Lepisosteus oculatus: one gene and its partner. The protein of the gene in region 2 interacts with the protein of the main gene of each other region in a biochemical or structural test. Links are inferred from orthologs where the notes say so. Each region holds a gene or a part of one and is shown on either strand. Other genes may lie near its edges. The genes, in order: rab5c and eea1.

Region 1 (9,685 bases), on a different chromosome or scaffold from region 2:
GGGACAGAAAAGTCACACCGTGCCTCTGGCAACAAAGGACAGGCAAAGGTCACATGTGAGAGCAGATCTTCTGAAGAAACACCACAGATTGGCTGTACCAACAACACCATTGCTCCACAGCAGCAGGGCTGACTGCAATGGGCAGGGGAGACTTGTGGCTATGACAATGCAAAGTCTGCAAACTTTGTGAACAAAGGACTGGCACAAGGTCCACCCAGCTCATTTGGAAGATAGTAATTAATTACTCCAAGGATCTCGCCCAGCTGTTTCCTTTAGGAGGCCAGGGGATCGGCTTCAGCAACACAGCTGGGTAGCGCGCTCCAGACCCCCACCACCCTTTGCGTAAAGAAGTGCCTCCTGTTCAGTTGTATACACACTTCTACACAGTTACCACTTGTTTCATGTTTCACTGTCCATCCTGAAGGAGTGCACTAGGTAGACTTTGATAAGGTTGCCTGTAGAAGTCTTTTCTGTTAAAAATAAAGATCCAGTTCCTTTGGCCTGTCAGTATAGGGCATTCCCTTAGGCCTTGAAATGAATCCCACTGATTCCAGAGCAGCAACCTCTTACCTGTATTGCAGTGAACAAGACTGTACATAAGATACTAAATGAGGCCTTACTGACATGTTATATCATTTTAATATAAAATCTCCGCAATTTTAACTATTTATCCTCACTTTGTCTTAAACATCCAAGTCTTGTTCACATTTAGCCTTTCCAATTTTGTATTTATAGTTTACGGTTTAGCTACCTGCATGTAAAGCCCTGCTCTTGTCTACATTAAACAAAACTTAATGCTCATGCGTCACCAGACTAGAAAAAAAAACCTCACAGGCACGTTAAAAGGAAACAGCTCACAAATATGGAATAATCTGATGAATGTCAAGACTTCAGTTCCCAAATCCAGGAGGCTTCCCAGCAATCACACAACAAGTCAAAAATCCGGTTTCTACAACGTACTTGCAAGTGCAGCAAATTCCTAGGAGGTATCTCTACACCAGTTAAAACCTGAGTCAGGCCCTGCACAGGGGAATTCAGAAGCAGATCTGCGCCAATTCCTTTAGAAACCGACATATTAGCTACACATAAAGGAAGTCTTCTGTTCTGCGTCACGAGTGACTCAACAGCCTCAGCCATTCCTTCAGATCTGACAGCCAACCAGTTGATCCAAATATAGTGGTTTGGGCCTGTCACACTGTTAGACACACAGTCGAGATAAGCTGGCTCTCAGGTTGTGGCATATAAGGACAAGCCAAGGAGCCTTGATGTTTTTCCTAATGCAGAAGGCAGCCTCGAGATCATAACCCCCGTCATTTTAAATCATATTAAATAACTTCACACTGGGCAAAACGTCTGCATTGCTTAGTTGGACTAGTTCTACTTTGCTCTTAACATCTTCATCATCCCTAAGCCTTGCATCTCCCTTATTTACCAAAGTCATACTCTTTGCTGAAATTCCTGAATTAATGAATTATACAGGATGATTTCAAGTGCTGCTGGTAGAAAAGATAAAAAGGACAGGGGCCCTGGAACCCGTTTCAGATGCCCAGATCTGATGCAGCATGATGTTTTCCTAATCCAGCTTGGCATGTCTGCGTTTGCCAGAGACAATTAGCAACACAGCCCAGTAGGACTGTGAGAAACAGGTTATTTCACACCCAGTCACTTCCGATTACATTTAACCACATTCACACTGTGGTATAAAACAACAAACATCTATATTAAAAATCAGGTTGAAATGATCAAAATAAACTATTAAAACATATGCAACAGTCCACTCCAACTGACACCTGGATGGATCAGTCCAACTGATCAGCTCTTTGTTGCCACTTATTTTCTATGCACTATCATAGATCTTTCTAAAAGGCTTCAGAATCAGCTGAGTCTCTATTTAGGGTCTTGAGGTCACATTCTATGATGCAGCGAGTCATGTCAGAAAGAAAACTGGCCTTCTTGAACGGCAGAAATGGTTGCTTTTGCACTTGATTTAAAAACGTTCGACCACAACACAAACTGTAGGGAAATGATCAAATCACTGATCATCCTGACAAAAGGCATTTCATCTTGTAACAACAGACACTTTCAAAAAACAGCTAGAGTGGGGATTTGCCTGCAGCCAGGAGAAGAGAGACCATGAACATAACGGAGTCTGCCCAAACCTTTCTCACTCTGAACCCGCTCATTGCAAACCAGCTCCTAAGAGGAACAGACCACTCTACACTGAAAGAGCTGGCTGCTCGATGTCTTGTGCTGGAATGGATCTAGCAGTTCAAAAGCATTAAACTACACCTGAACGAAAGCAGGCTCTTACAGGAACAGACCACATGCACATTCTGGGGGGACACTAACCATGCTTGTGGGTGTCAAGCAGCAGTAAAATATTGTGTAAGGATGTGATCACTGCTGGCAAATGATGCTGACAATGTTATGTGATAACATTACATTGTCATATCATTGCAACTAGCCTCATCTGCACCCTTGACATTAACGAGATTGTCCATGATTCTTCAGAATACACCATGAGCTAATTTCTGGTCCATAAATATCACAAAGTGGGAGGAGGGGCATCTATTTAACCCTTTCCTCTTTGCCCATGAGGTCTGCTTCTGCAGTACAACGTCAGCTGCTGTATAATTCTGAAAGGCTCCCTTTGGCAAACCATACAAAGGGCACCATAGCAGACAAAGATTCACTGATTCAAATGAGAGGAGGGCATTAGTAGCTAGTGGGTAACTAATCCAAGGGTGTCATTTCTTGAAAGAAACCAGGGTACAGACTTCAACAACATGTCTGGGTAGCTTGTTCCACACTCCCACAACACTTTGGTTAAAGACATGCCTCCTGTTCTCAGTTTTAAATGCACTTTCATGTCGTTTTCACTTGTGCTTCTGGCTTGTGTCACTGTTGTAGAAAACACTGCTGGGTTGAATCTGTGTTAGAAATTCTCGTTTCGGACAAACGCTCGCTGTGCATGTGTGTTCCAAACTCTCTTCTACACCCAGTGCTTTTTAAGGTCTTCATTACAGCACTTATAAGAAAGCAGAGCAGGAATAATCAGTCCTTTGGAAATATTATTGGAAATATGGCACTTAAGCATTGATCCAGTCACATTGTAGGGCTTGTCGACCTGACAAATTTAAATTTTCTAAACTTGTAGCAAGAGGCCCTGTCTCCTAGTGACAATACAGCTATAAGCGCCGAGAAAAGAAACAGGTTCTGGGAATAGAACTCGTGCAAAGGTTTCGTAAGCCAATGAATCATAAAGCAAAAGTTCAGCAACTTTCTCATATGATCCCGAGTTATTGATTTACATCGCTGTTTGTGCGCACTCAACATGCCGGGACCACGGGAAACCAGCAACTCCCAGGGAATAAAAGGTCACTTTCTGTTTATTAATTAATTTGTTCTTGTCTGCCTGAAAAAAAAAAGACTCGCAGCATTGGGGGGGTAACACCTAAAAATTAAATTTAAACCTCTTCTGAGACATTTGAAGACAGCAAGCGTAGTTATTGTACCTGCTACCGTGTACGGAGCGAAACACGGGAGAATATTTTGGTTTTAGTTTTTAAATGAGGAACTATGAGCTACTAACCTCTGCGGCTGTACAATGACCGTATGACTCCTATTACACGTCAGGAACAATCGAGGGGTTTAATACGTTTTCTAGATATTATTTTGCCCCTGTACAGATTTAACACGGGCACATTTTTTTTAAGAGGTGAGAATAGCGGTATGTAGATAACTCCCTAATACAAGAAGTAGAAATTTCGGCCCCAGAACTGTCTTCAATGGGGTTTAGCAATAGCTCTGAACGTTATTTAGCGATATTATCTCACAAGACAACCCCCCCCCCAACCCACTCACACCTACCAGCCTGCCGAGAGGGAGACAGCAGCCTCACCGCGCAACGGACATGTGAAACGAAAACAGAAAATAAAACGATTCATCTTCAAGCATATTTTATGACACAACACAGTCAGGAACCCCTTATCACAGACCAGCGGATAAATCTGCAACAGAGCCCGGACGGGCAGCTGAATACTGGGGACAGCTCGGCTTGAAACGGCAAACGCAAGAGACGCAACAAGGTGTAACTCACGATTTTAGACAGCACCCGAGCGCAAGACCCTCTTAGGTTTTCCGTACTCCGGTTCTTCTATCGGAATAAATTTTTAAGCTATGAATTTTCTTCTCTGTTTCAATTTCGCAGCTCTGCTCTGCGATTCTTCATCACAGGCTCCGGCCTTCACTTCCGCCTTGCGATCCCCACTTCCAGGATCCACCTACTTCCTGATGGGAGGGGGGGTGGGACTGAAAGACAAAATGACCAATGAGCGTATGCGTTCCAGAACAGGCTTAGGACCGGGGATTACATCATCGTATTTCTGGCGCGATGCCGCTGGGAAATGTAGTTCGGAAGGGTTTAAAGGGCGGTTTTGGTGTGGACGTAAGCTTTTATTGCGACAAAGACGTTTTAAACTTTTTCTGGTTTCGAGCAACCTTTTCCAACACAACCATTTAACAAATAACCTCTTTTTAAGTCTACAGTCAAGCTGAAGTCGACGTTATATCATTATTTACCCATTTATAATTTCCTGCGTTGCACAACGCTTAACGTAGGAGGGTGCTCACTTTATTCATTGTTGAAGAGCAGCTCCCACCTACGTGAAGCGCGGCAGCCCCTCTGCGCAGCAGATCAGGTGGGGGAGTGAGAAAATGCTGCAGTAATTGAATTAAGAAACAACATCAAGCAGGCCTGCTCAAGATAAGAGTGCAATTTTAACGGAGGCAGTGGCTTTGATGTCTTTACACTCCCGAAAACCACCTGTGGGATCTATATTGATGCAATAATCAGGCCTAAGTTGAATTACTCCTCCAAACCTTAGTGTATTGCGTTTTCTAAGGAAAAAATCACCCCCTGTAGGGATGCTTGTTTCTTTAAATTCCGGTCCAGAGGGAAGAGCTCCACCTACTGGTCCGCGAACGACACCTGCCCCGGCAGGAGCCTGGGTTTCCTTTCTCTGCTTCAACTCCAAGATCTGACAAAGCCAGACCACAAGGTGGTACTACAACCGCCGGCGAGGTAAAATGGGAATTTTTACTATCACAATACTTCTGTGATAAAACGTCAAAAGTGGAACTGGCAGGCCAGTAGACCAAGAGCCTTTTTGATGTTGGTGGTCTTTTTCAGAGTCACTTAAAAGTACCTCTTTGGTACCTCTGTGAAACTCTGTTTTTAGGTCTAATTAAAGATGTCAGTTGCAAAACGTAACATGAATCTAATGAAATTCTGGGATTTCAGAATGTTACAATTTTGAAACAGGACTGGGCTCGTCAAAAAAAAGACGAATTTTAAGACTGTGTTGGTTTCAGTAAATCCTTAAGTTGTGAGGCTGGAGCAGGCTTGTCATGGTATGGCTTCTTGCCAGACTCCCGAATAATGATACTGTAGAAGATCTCAGTGTTGGCAAATACTTTCACATAAAACATGTCATAATAATAATAATTGCTTACACTTATATAGCGCTTTTCTGGGCACTCCACTCAGAGCTCTTTACACGTAATGGGGATCCCCTCCACCACCACCAGTGTTCAGTGAGAGTTTCGGGAGTGAGGCAGCCCTCCTCCTTGCAGTATTTTTTTTTAAAAGGATTAAGATAAGATCACTTTATTAGCCACGTACGATTTCTTGCATTAGGAATTTGTCTTTTCGCAGACCCCAGCTTGCTCTCCACGAGACACACAGATACACAGACAGAGAGAGAAGCTCATTTATACAGCGCCCCCGGAGCAGCTGGGGTTAAGGGCCTTGCTCAGGGGCCCAACGGAGTGGGATTCCTCTGCCGGCCACAGGATTTGAACTGGCAACCTTCCAGCCAGAGGCGCAGATCCTTAACCACAGAGCCACCGCTCCACCCATAAACAGGTGGATTAAAAAATAAATAAATTGGATCTTTTTCACATTCTTAATTCTGAATATCAGCTTCTTCCCTCTGGCAAATGCAGATCGAATAGATACAAATATTCATTTTTTCCCTTATCTATTAGACAGTGAGTATAAACCGATTAGGCTGTAACAGACTTTAGTATTTACAATATGTCATGACTATGCTGTAATAGTTTGTGTAATGTTAGATGTAAATCGACGTGATGTGTAATGTTTTGTGATGAATTCAGACGTAAGCACTGCGTGTCCCCAAAAAGTCACCCCTAGGGGACAATACATTTTATCTGATCAACGGTTAATATGTCCCGGCTTCGTAACACCACAGCAGGTCTCTGCAAGGCTGTGTTCCCCTTATTGAACAGCAGATGGCGTGCTCCCATTACTAACCTCAGTCGGTTTTTGTCGGTTTAAAAACCGTTTTTGTACATTTTTACTAAAGCTGAACGATAGGAAGAAACTGGGAAGAGAAAATGAATTTAACAAAGATAGTATTGTGTGTCAACAGTTGAGCAATTAGTACCAGTTAAAGTGCCAAATTAGTACCAGTTAAAGTGTTTCAATTCTGCACTAATTCTGCAGAAGCTTGTTAGTCCTGCAGGACTATGGTTTTTCAAGAACCAAGGTCGCTGACCCCTCTTGATCTGAGGAGTATTAGACCACATGTAAATGCTGCATGAGTCTGTACGATCAGGGACATTTTCAGAGGGTTTCTGGGGATGAAAAGGTAGCAAACATGACACTGCCTGCCCTCCCAGCTAGGGGTGTGAAGGGCCATGCGGGTGAGGAAGATTACAATGTTATTGTGTGTGTAGCTGGACAAAGACAAGTATGGATTCTGCCTGGCCTTCATACTGGAAAAAATTAAACAGCGAAAAATTAAAACAAATACCATGAGCCAGGCCCACCATGATACATCAGCAAAGAAATTCTATACCTGCATTAAAAAATATAGCATGTGTGTTTAAATCCTTTACAGGCAGTTAATGCATTCATCAGAATGGGGCAGAAAGGCTTTGGTCTCGGCTGAGGCCTGAGTTATGTGGCAGTGGTGCATTAGAGGGCAGTGTTCACCTAGGGACTGTGCCTCATGTTCTGTACAGATTGTCAGCCAGGGAATCATTAGGGGCAGCTCCAGGATATGCCGGATGGTGTTGAGCAGCCCATTTATCACAGCCAGTGTGTGCAAGAGAAAGCTAACCTGCTCCACGATTTACTACACACCTGGTAATACAACATTATGTTCTTTTGTAATCTGGGCTTTAGCCAGTAAGCACATGCCAACCGAGTGTCCTGTTCACCTCAAGCATGCAAATTCTGTCCGCAGAATCTCAGAAAGCAGCTCCTTTTTCCTTTAAAATGAAAAACTCTTTCCACGTCGTTGTAATGATTTTAAGAATTGATCATAGACAACTGCATCCCAGCAATTATTCCTGTTGATTTGTTTCTATGCAGCTTGTAGCATATGGAGAGTTCTATGTAACACAAATCTCCACTCATCTCACTTTTGAGAATTAGCACGCACAACAGTGTGATACAACCAAGACAGGTTTGCTTGGTAATTCTGCAACCTGTACACTTACCTCTGTTTTTCTTTATTTGTTTTACGACAAAACATAAATTCATTACAAATACTGCAACACAGCTATGATTCACCCAAGGTGGTCACTGCGTGTGAATGTGTATTATCGCAAGTCATAGTGTTGTTGTAGTCCAGCATAGCCCCAAAAAAACTTTAAGATGGGTGTAAGCAAACCTGGAGCAGAACAGTGAGCTCAACACACCAGCGCTTATCATTTGCCTGTACAGTGTGTTATTCAACTGCCACATTAAGATAAATTTTCAAAGATCCCTGCATATCCACCTCCACAACCTGGTTTGTCTAATCTGTTCCATGCATTGGTAATTTGCTGTGTAACAAAAAACATTTTTTACCATTACTGCAGAATTGGGCTTCTCAAATGTTTTGAGGTATGATCTTCTCTTCCGCCTCTCGGGATGAGATGTGGGAGAGATTGAATACAAAACTGCTTCAGTTTATGTGGGGTTTTTTTTGGTGCTTCATAAGGTATCATACCAGACAGACCAGGTCCCATGGTTTTATTGCAGGCCAGAGATGTCCCTCATCTAAAGCATTGCAGGCCTGCAAGTGGCCAGTAGCCTGCAGGGGGCGCTGTGATGCTGAGAGCCCTGGCCAACTATACCCACCCTACTCTTGGTGGTGCTCAGTCAGTAATACGCCAGTGACATGACCCAGGCTTAAACGCATGATCAGAGAGTTCAACCTGTGATTCTGGTGAGTGCCTTTAAGAGCTGAGCCACTGGGGAGGCCTCCCTAAATCTCTGGTCTACCGAGACCTCACTTACTCCAGCTCTTCTTTTCTGGCTCTTCCGGTTATTCGCAAGCTCAGTCCCATTGGTCTGTGCTGTGGCGAGGTCATGCTACGTGCAAGTCTGTGCTGTGGCAGCGAGGTCCCCAGAGGGAAGCCTGTGCCTGTGAGTGTGGTGGTGTCGTCATGTGCTCAGGTGCTCCCTTGTTGGCTAATTGGCCATGTCAGACTGGTGCGGCGCAGGGGGTGGGAACAGGGGCGGGGGGCCGACACTTCGCTGGAAGGCTGAGCTTCATTAGCCACATGGACTCCCTCAAGACTCTGCTCAACATCCATCTAAGGAAAGCAAAACACACCACAATGCACAGCACACAGCATTTTAGAGTGGTGTCTCCTCCATTGCAGGAGTTCAGGGGGAAATGATGAGACTTTTGGAGCTGAGGTGCATGTAAGGGAGGGTGGGACAGGCAGAGATCGTCCAAGCTGACCTCCTTCTCACTGATCCCCTTTACTGTTGGTAGGTGAGGTTCTAAAGGATGCACTGTACCTGAGCAAAATCAGAAGACAAATCAGCCTGGAGTGTTTGTTCCTTTAGAGATCTTAGCATGTCACTGTAATTATATCCTAATTAGCAGCCAACGTCAAACCCTACAGTTCTGTTAGTATATGAAGTATACCTAAGACATGTACTGTAATTTATCAGTCAGGTAACAAAACACAATCTGCAAGTCTTAACTACACATACTAATTTGAACTCTTTAGACAAATCGCACCCAGATAATTTTATAAGACAGAACATCTGAGATCCTGCAGTGCCCAAAAAATTTTTGCAACAGCAGCAGGAAACCAAAGAAAGGCAGGTGATTGTGTAAGCACAGCGCTCACCTGCCCACACTCTGCTCCTCCACTTCCAATCAGAGCATGCCTGCCCTGGGGGACTGCAGAGCTCCCTGTGTCAGCTGCTCCTTTCTCTCGCCGAGATCGGCCGAAATGGATGATCTGTGTCATCTGCAGCTAAAAACACAGCCCCCAGGGGACGTGCGCAGCAGGATGCTTCAGTTTATAAACTGCTGCTGCAAAAGGTAGAAAAATCTTACGCAACTGCAGGGTTTTAGAAATGTAGTACAGAAGCTGCCTGCCGTTGTGGTGCTACTTTTAATGCACCTTGCAGAATTAATTTAGGCATAGTTTCCTTATGTTATAAAGGCAGTATACCTGTTGTCTGAATCACGCAGTGACAAGTTTAGCAGACTGAAAGGGTTTGACGTTCTTGGACATCTGGGCATCAGAATAAGCATTCTGGGTGGGGGTTTAAAACCTTCCTATATCATAGTATAGCCTCTTGCTTTCTGTTGTGTTTAAATGTACAGTAGGTTATGTCTTAGACGTGGCATTTATGCCAACAGAAAAG
Region 2 (10,250 bases):
TTACTCAAGAAATGTATCTGACCTTTTTTGTCTTTGTTGTTTGTTTGCTTCTCCAACTTACCTTGATAATTCCAGCATAAACATTTTCTAGAGCCCCATTCACTCTTGTTTTATGAGGCAGCCTTTTCTCAAACGTAGCACACATCCCCAATCTGAAAAGGCAGCCCTTCCTGACCTAAATGCATGCCAGCTTTCTAATGCATCCCAGGGCCAGCAACTGCAGATCCAGCACTGGTGTAAAGTATTGTATATGTCAACTCACAGTCAGTCTTGAGCCACATTTGAATATCACATCACCGGTGACAATATCAGTAACAGGCCCCTCACACATTCACCACCAACAACAAATGGAAATCTGATCAGAAGCCAAGATTATCCTTAAACCTGGACCACACATTCACTCTCCTCTCAATGATAGACTTGTTTCTCTTCAAACGCCTCTTGATTTCATGCCTCTCCCTCTTACACATTCCAGTTTTTCACACCTCACCTAGATCACCCTTCGTTTGGACAGGCTGCCAATTTGCCAGCAGCCCTATCACCCTGCAGCCCACAATTGGCAGCCCACTGGAGCTCAGCAGGTATGAGCCTGGCCAGTACCTGGATGGGAGACCTCCTTGGAAAAACTAAGGTTGCTACTGGAAGAGGTATTAAGAGGAGCCAGTAGGGGGTGCTCACCCTGCAATCTGTGGCCCCAGTATAGTGATGGGGACACTATACTGTAACAAGTGACGTCCTTCAGATGAGATGTAAAACCGAGGTCCATACTCTCTGTGGTCATTAAAAACCCCAGGATGTTTCTTGAAAAGTGTAGGGATTCCCGCCTGCTATACGAGTGGTTAATTTATCAACAGTGTGAATACATAAACATGCATTTTACCACATTTGACAGGTGAGTGGGTCACAGAGAAAGTCATAATCTAATTTATGTGTACGGCTTCCACAATTTATAGTAAACCCGATTAATTACCTGTACACACAGAGGATAATACCGAGCCTTAACAAAGCGACTCAAGACACAGCTCTGGTGACAAAGTAATAAATCAGGTTCAGACTTGACAGGACAGACATTAACAATAAAATAACACAACTAAACGACAATTTACAAAACTATACAAATGTGTACAATCTGTATATTCCTGAGTCGCGCTTCCTGTAGGCTAAGAAACCCCAAATTCGGTTCTTGTAATCTACAGTATTACCACAGTAAGTACAACCACAGTATCTTAAACAGGACAGACAGAGAAACAACCTGAGAAACCTAAGGAAAATGTTTCTGTGTCAGAACTAAATCTGCCTTCCTGTAACACTGAGTCCCAAAGGAAAACAGAAATTAATTTTCCTATTCCAGAAACGCATCACCAAACTAGGGGAGTATGTCGCAAGTCCAAGGATTCCACAACGCAGGAAATCGTAATTTCCTAAAATAAACATGACGGCAGGCTCTCTATAATAATGTTCAGATTACATAGCCAGAATCTGGTCTCCAAGAGGGATCAGAACAAGGTCCTCGTGCATGACTCAAGCCTGGAGGAAGAAAGGGAGGATAAAGAAAAATGATCTTCTCTTTCTTTGTTTTCCCCTGGACTGCGCCTACCCTGTGTCCTGTCTTCCCCGTGTTTATATTGTGGTCTCTACCTCTGGAGGACAGCTCAAGACCTCCCTAGTCCCTCTTGAATGGGCATTCTTACTTATAACGTAGATAATTAGAGTCAATCATCAGAAACAAAATTTGATCACCTGAGTCTCACCTTGTGTGAAGCTGCTATTAACCCACAGATAGCTAGGCAAACAATGCAAATCAATATGCTTTGTTCTAAACGTTCTGAATAGTTCAGATCTTTGTGAGAAATGCAAACATAGCTAAGCTTTGCTCACCACCATCATTAGATTACTTAGATCGTTGAAGCTGCAAAACATATTGTCCACTCAGAAGGCTGCTCGCCATGTAAAATGTCTTTGACACTTCCATACATTGTTAGACAGCAGACCTATGCAATAATGCAACAGTAAAATATATTTAGCCTGCCATGTGACTCATTTTAAACATGTGTTTAAAATGCATGAAGCAGGAACAGATGTACGTTCATTCAAGCTGGCAGAATGCAGTTTATTATTGGGGATGGTTTGAATCCCCAGATAAAAACATCTAAGCAGATACCCATCATCTTATCTGGGTCTTAAAAGATCTTATGATGAAAAGACTGACATCTGTTTTAAGTGATAGTCATGCATCAAATACATCACAGTTAACCTTGAAACCTGGGAAAACATGTTAATGACAGATTTTGAGTACTGCATAGTACAAACAACGATACAGGGGTATGACGGGTATGAAATTCCAGTCTTATTTAGGCTTCTGTACAGTTGCTGTCACTTCTTTCCAACACATGACTACCATTCAGCATTTAGGTGTTTAAGTCACACTCAAATTGCTAATAAACTACTGTCCACCAATTTAGCCCAGCTTTTCAGTCACTGGTATGTAGATAACGTGCTGCCTTAAATCTTAAGAGTCAAAGGTAGGGAAAACAAAAAAAAAATACTGCCCTACATTTCAGTCCTCCGAGGAGTGACCTAATAAGTGTGAAAGGGTGTAAAATTTAATGGTAATAAAATGATATGCTAGCAGCTATATCACCCGGCAACTCACAACTGGCAGCCCACTGAAGCTCAGCAGGTGTGAGCCTGGTCAGTACCTGGATGGGAGACCTCCTGGGAGAAACTAAGGTTGCTGCTGGAAGAGGCAATAGTAGGACCAGCAGGGGGCGCTCACCCTGTGGTCTGTGTGGGTCCTAATGCCCCAGTATAGTGACGGTGACACTATACTGTATAAAAAAAATAAAAAAAAAAAGGACCCAACTTCAGATGAGACATAAAGGTGAGGTCGTGACTCTCTGTGGTCCCAGGGTGTTTTTTTAAATGAAGAGGGGTATAATCTACTAATGGTGTCATTATAGTATTCTTATACTACTCGACATGCCACTATAACTTAGCACATTCCACTGTGGACATACACTATATCAGTTAATGGGGGCATGGCATGACTAGAACAAGCGGAGTTTAATTCCATGCTGAAAAGTAAGATAAGTGGAGAGGAAAGCTTAATTGGATCATTTTGCCACTCCTGCAATCCAAGTGTAATAAAGGCTACCATCACGATCATGGATTCCTGGTCATGGCCACGTAAGGGTTGCATTTTGACATTACGCTGTGAAACGTAACAAGAAGGACGTTTAACTTCACAACTCTTCGTTGCACGTCGATAGATCATTAGACGTCATCCTTCTGGCTCGTACTGGAAGCCTAGGTTGAGATGCAAGGTCCTGCCAAATTAAAACTGGCCACCTTCACATAGCGATAACAGTGCAGCAAATACAACACCAGGCACAAAATGGAGCAGACTCAGGCACATCTGTGATTGGCATCTCGAGTTTTATTTTCGCCCAGGTAGGGCAGGACTAACTCAGAGATTCAGTAGTCTAATTATTTCAACACATCTCTAGCAATTGCTTTACAATCGGTAAGATCACCATTTCTGACGAGCGTTTGGTTTGAATACAAGGCTTCGCTTGTGTACAAATACAAAAGAGTCTGACATGATGGTACCAAGCCATCACTACAACATCATCAACAGTGCTGTAAAAATGATACGAATGCCAAGTTTTTTTTTCCGGACAATAACTGTATTTCATCATTAAAAATACTAAGCGTACCGAAAGAAAAAAAAACAGTAGAATGGATGTGTGCAACTGATGACCTAAACGCTTCACAATGTAATGCATTAAAACCGCTTCCAGGAGCGAAGGCTGCTCAGTCCAGTTAAAATAAATGACAGTACCCATGACTGGAGGGCACAGCCCGTGCACACGGCTGATAAAATAAAGCACCGGGAGCTCGCTTCAGACGTACACTTTTATACGTCGAAATCAGAAGGAAATCAGAACTAAAAAAAAAGGAGACATCGTCGGCACAGCCAATCGCACGGCACGCCATGCGAATAAAGCGGAACGCCCACACTAACTTGGTGATTTCTGTGCGAGTCCAATTCAATAGTCCGGATCAGCCAAGCCTGACACTATAGGTCCAGGGTCTGTACCGCTGCAAACAGCAGCCTGGGCGCCGCTCCCCGCAGCTTCGACTGAAGGGCTGAATTCGACATCAAACGCCAAAAGCTACAAGTGATCGTTGTCGTTTGATACATTAATCAGCGGCAGTCCACTGACAAACAGGAGGCCTACTCGCACGGCCTACACACACACATAGAGAGAGAGAGGAAGGACAGGCCTTGCTTTTGCAGGGCATGGACAGCTAATTCAATCACAGAGAAAACAAGACGCACCGCACCAGCACGCCCGCAGTTCCGCCAGCGCCGAGCTTACCCGCTGCAGTATTCGTCTGAACATGGTGCAGACCGGTGCCCCTTTTGTTTCCGAAAATAAAACCTAAAACGAAACGAAAAACTTTATTCCTTATTACGTTTCCCAGAAGCACCTGACCAAGCCCGCTTGCTGACAGCCCTGCAATTCGGAGCACAAGGGTGGGGGCGGTGCTACGGGGAGGGGGGTGGGGCTCATGTGCAAAGGGGGCGGGGCGTCGCTCGGTTGAACAGAACGGAGAAGGGAAGAACACGGAATGATTGGCAGGCCGTCCTGCATTTTCATTGGTAAGCCCGGAGCCGAGAGAGGCGGGCCTTCTTTCTAGACTGCTCTGTGAAAGGAATACGGGAAGTGAGTGGAATGGTTCACGGGATGGTAATGTCATGTATTTTTTTTTGAAAAAATAAAAAAAAAATCAGTCAGAAAAGAAGCAGCCCTTTATAAAATTTTTAATTGCCCGTTTCTGCTTTGGTTGTGCTGTGGGTTAAAGGAGGATTAATTATAAAATCTGATTATAAGAGAGTGAAATAAAGAATTGTAAGAATACTCATGTTTTTATGCCATTAAGATTATGTTTCCAATCAGTGGTGTATCTAAGGAAATGAATCACAAGGCCTCTTATTACCAGAACGGTATTGTAATATAATGGCATGACCATCTTAAATATGGCAAAAGGAAATAAGTGAAAACTACTCAATTAAAAAGAACAGAGTAGAGAAAGGAAGTTCTTTACCCCAAGGACGCTGTATATAGTGATAAAGAAAAAGCACAAAAAGAGTAAAAGAAAAAAAAATGAAACAAAAGCATGTGGTATAGAATGTAGGGCAATCAGACACAGGCCCTTGTCAAAAGGTGAGTTTTTAGTTTAGATGTGAAGAGAGTCAAAGAATTTGCCTCTCGAAGAAGAGGTGGAAGGGAGATCCATAACAGTGGGGTGACAGAAAAGGCACGGCCACCAACAGCCCCACAGTTTCAATTCCAGGTACAATGAGCAGAGGACCAGCCTCAACGGGTGGGAGTGTATACATGATACGTGAAGGAATTCAGAAATTGTCATGGAGCCAGATTATTCAGAGCCTTACAAATCAGTAACAAGATCTTATATTGAATATGTGACCTAACAGGCAACCAATGTAGAAACGTAAGTGTAGGAGTGATATGCTGCCAAGATCTGCTGCAATTTGCACTAGTCATTTGTACTATCATTAACCTTTATGAGAGTTGGTGGTGACTTTACTATACTATTTTTGTACTTTTACTGCGGGGTTACTTCACAATTGTTGCGTCTTAAGAACAAAGAAAAAGAGGCCCTCCAACTCATCCTGCCCTTTTGGTTGTTAGCCACCAACTGATCCGGACGTCTCGTCTGGCTGTTTTGTCTCGTGCATTCCTGTACAGGAGGAGTGAAATACGGTGCATGCTACAGTACCATCATAAACTGTACAGTTGTTTTGTAACTTCTGTTGTTCCACATCAAGGAATTACTGTGGTGTAATGCAAGTGCAAGCACAGTAAAGACATGTTAATAGCATAATAATAATAATAATAATAATAATAATAATAATTAATAATTGCTTACACTTGTATAGCACTTTTCTGGACACTCCACTCAAAGCGCTTTACAGGTAATGGGGATCCCCCTCGATGGATAGGATAGGAAACCATTGGCAAAAGAATGGTAGAAACCACAGTTTAAGCACAGTATTATTGCCCATCCATACAAAACACCCATTTTCAAACTGCTTTATCCAATACAAGGTTGGCCTATCCTGGCAAGCAAAAGCACACAAGGCAAGGTCCACCCTGGGCACGCTGCGGTTGTCTGAAAGCTGTTTAATGGATCAAAGTCATTGTTTTAAATCAAAGCATATTTTTCTTTTAAAAATATGATATTATATCATATATACAATATATATTATATATGATAATTTATATTATAGTAGTTCAGGTGGGTAGCTGCGTCAGCCGAAGAAGGCTTCACAGCTGAAACGTTGTGTTTTCTCTCTTCTCTTTTCAGCATGGAATAAACCTATTACTTGTTCCATTATATATTATATATGATATTAAAAAATAAAATATTCTTAGTCTGGCTTTTTAAAGTCAGTTTTTTCCAAACATAGCCCTCTAATTTTGCTATCTTTTAGTGTTCCATCTTAAGTTCTTAACGACAGGTTTATTGATTTCCATTGTCTCTTTGGAAACACACCTTATTTCAGTAGGGTGGCCTGTTCATTGTAGGAAGATTTGACACAGTGTTATTCCCACCCGTGTCTGTTCATCATAAGGAAATAAATCAACTTTATGAATAAAAACATTATTATTATAAATGGACTTATATTGCATCACTTGTCATGAGACTCTTTTTCGTGTCTTGTCTTTTCATGTTTTCTTCTCCCACTTTCCCAGTGCTAAATGACTTCTTCTTTGTTGTAAAACACAAATATACTTTATTCAGCTCTTCATTTCACACGGTGAGAAAACTATCATCATTGGATGATTCCTAGGCCGTGGAAATCAAGGATAAGTGGAAACTTTGTCTGTCCCGAGATGTGCCATTTTGGGAATTGCCCAAACAGGACTCTTACATCACAGCAGAACAATGATCTCTGTTTTTCTGTGTTCAAAATGAAAAACATCTGGTTTTCCAAGCTGCTTCTGTGAAGCTAGCCTTTTAAATGTCCTGTTGGCCTGCGTCAAGATGGAGAACAGACCGGACCAGGCAAATGAGTGCTTTCCATGATAAATATTCCCCTGGTAGGAGACAACTGATGCAGTCCTTGCTTAACCAATAAGAAATCTGAGATCTTATATCACATTAACAGCTGGGTGAGAGCCCAGGTGTACATTTTAACCACTGTAAATAAAAGAAAGAAAAACTCTGAAGAAAAGAGCATGAATGCACACATGCTGTGGGTTATGAAATTAAATCTCATTAATAGATGGAGATTGTTAAACAGTGTCATTACCATTAAATCAATAGGGACCAACACGTTCCTGAATTATATATTGATCTCTGCATATTCTTGCTTTCTAAATTTCTGTTTATTTTATTGCCTGAAAGAATCGACTTATAGCAGCCCCAAATTTTAGGTGTCTTTGGTTGCTGCCAGCAACCAAACATGAAATCAAAACAAGGATAACTTTTTTTAAACTTAGGGACTCAGAAGTCGGATAATGGTGGCTTTAGAGAAGCTGATGATACTCGTTTCTATTAATAATGTTATATGATACTCCTGTATACAGATGATGTTATTTGTGTTTTTGCTATTGATCATTCACTAAAAATACCCCAGTGCTTCACGCTGTACTGCCATACAAGTCATTTTCAAAGGTGGGTATTTCGGCAGGAAGCAGTTCCATCAGGATCCACTAGAGGGGCCCATCCATCTATCCATTCACAGCTGCTGACGCTTGGTAGGGGGTCACAGGGCACAAACAAGCACAAGCACAGGGGGAGAGTTTTTAGAGAAATGCCAACTACCTAACCAACATGTATTTGGAAGTTAGGAGGAAGTTATTAGGAACACCAATCCTTTGCAGGGCACACACAGACACAAGACACACACACACTCACACTAGAAGTCAATTAACCTCCCAGTATGTCTTTGGACTGTGGGAGGAAACTGGAGGAGCTGGAGGAAACCCACATGAACACAGAGAAAACATGCAAACTCCCCGCAGATAGGACCCCAAATCTGAAACTGAACACAGGATCTCAGCACTGGGGAGCAGTAAGGCCAACCACTGTTTGTAATTCGGCTTAATCATAAGCCAAAGAGTTTTAGTACATGTTCTATTGAAATGATTCTTGTACCTATCATCTAACTGGATAAGATATACAGGGCGTTGTTTAGCTTAACTGCTGGGTTTTCCAAAAGCACACCAAACATTACAAACCTAAAATCAATTAAAATATCCCAGATAACTAAAGCATGTTAGTACGTCTCCAGGCATCACATAGGAGGTGTCCATGTGAAACATTTTAAAAGCTATTTATTTCAATAAACATATAATAAGAATACAATTTAAAATACAGGAAATACATTGGAAGGCTGTAAAGTATTTACAGTAACTGTATTATGATCAACTAGTTATTGCTACAAGATACTACTAATAATTGCTTGTAATTGCTTTTAATACTGAATTGCATACTTTATATAAATCTTTCTTTAACATATTATGATGAAAGTAGCACATCTGAAATATATTTAAAGTAACTAATACTATATGCTATGTTACACTATTAATAAACACCTGCTTTGCTTATCTAAATGTATGCTTGTATGTCCTTTCTCAGGTAACCAAATTTAGATGCTCCATTGTTGTGTAATCCATTACAATTTGTGCACCAGAGAGTAATGTATCTCACTGTGCTGGTCACTAATTAACATTTGATCAAATCATGTCGTACAGTCCAATGTTTGCAATGTTCCGGTGTCGGCAAAATAATTAGTGTCTCTGAACCAATACTTAGTGTTATGGGGGTCAAAACAGGAACTTTTCACATTCTTTTACAAGTTAAGGGAATCAGAGAGCCAGACATTTTCCTGTTCACTGTAGTGCTGTAATTAAGGTAAAAGTATAATACCTTGTATAGAAAGCTGATGCATCACAGATTATACTCCCTCAGCACTGCTGGTAACAATATACTGTATATATACAGCTGGAGAAATCAAGGGTGGGTACCTTGTTAAAAATATACCAGTAGTTTGGCACTTGATTGACCCTCTAGCAGTGTATCCAGAGGCCTGGCTACAAGCAACCAATATGGATGCATCATCAGTGACAGCAGTAATGTGGACAAAGACATAAGTCCAGTCATATCCTTCAATACAGTGCAATATAACACACTCCCTGATAATCACCTTGTTGGATGACTGAGCTAAGGGAAAAATTGTCAGGAACCTTTTCCTGTTATAGATTGCCATCGTGTCTGTGAAGGAGGGTGTGGAGACAATCCTGTGTCAACCCAAGGGTTGTGCCAAGGTGTGTGTGAGGATCAATATCTCAATTGGTGGCCATTAGCTAATGTTCATATGTACACTCAGGGTACAGCCTCATGATCAATTACTATTCATCCACAAGCAGTCATTGCATAAGGGCAGTGGTGTTTACTTTTCATGCAGTCAGAAGGACAGAGATAAAACAGACAAATCAAAGGTAACAAAACAGGTTAAAAGAGGCAAAGGACTCCTGCTACCTAAAACCACCCTAGAACTACATAAGGACAATTGCTCAGTGCTCTGATTTGTAGTACCTTAAGCGCTTTGAGAAGCCATCTTTAAAGGCGCAAAATAAAAGAAAGTTTATTATTATTATATTACCTTACCCAGATGAATAACTCACTTTCTAGGTTATGAGACAGCGTGAAATCTCAGTTTGCATTCCTTTCTTTATGAATCGAGAGCAGTGTTTTAATAACTTCTTGTTTGTGAGCAAATTATGTTTCTAAATCCTTTCTTCCTTTTCCTGAAGTGCCCAGTTCTGTTGTTCTTCCTAAATCCGATTGTATTTCCTAATTCTACCCTGAATTTCAAACATGCATTGTTTTCCCAGGAAGTGCACTTCCCTTCAAGCCGTGAGAATCAGACTGGTGATCATCAGTTTATCGCACAATTTACTCTTACAACCAAAGATTCATAGTACTGGAATACAATGCAGAAAGTCTGGTTAATGTGTGTCTTTTATTTTTCACTGAAGTTCCATAATTAGGACCTGCCTATACCGTTCATTAAGGCATGTCTGCAATATTTCCCCTTTTTTGCTACAGAGTGCATGAGTGAATGTTTTACAGCTCAGTTTATTATTTTCTTAGAGTTTTGATTCCCATGGTAGCCTATGGTTATAGTTAACCTACAATTGCGGGGACTT

Evidence for each region.
Region 1: the proteins of eea1 (region 2) and rab5c form a complex in vitro, tested with the Homo sapiens proteins (2 studies listed by BioGRID and IntAct, with this or other methods). The link is inferred for Lepisosteus oculatus from reciprocal best matches to the Homo sapiens genes EEA1 and RAB5C.

The regions. Positions count from the first base shown.
Region 1 is NC_090723.1:5,230,737-5,240,421, reverse strand, and holds the start of rab5c (ras-related protein Rab-5C), read right to left. Parts: upstream 4,281-9,685; 5' UTR 4,100-4,280; intron 1-4,099. UniProt on the Homo sapiens protein: The small GTPases Rab are key regulators of intracellular membrane trafficking, from the formation of transport vesicles to their fusion with membranes.
Region 2 is NC_090702.1:52,257,183-52,267,432, forward strand, and holds the start of eea1 (early endosome antigen 1), read right to left. Parts: upstream 4,532-10,250; 5' UTR 4,407-4,531; coding exon 4,383-4,406; intron 1-4,382. UniProt on the Homo sapiens protein: Binds phospholipid vesicles containing phosphatidylinositol 3-phosphate and participates in endosomal trafficking.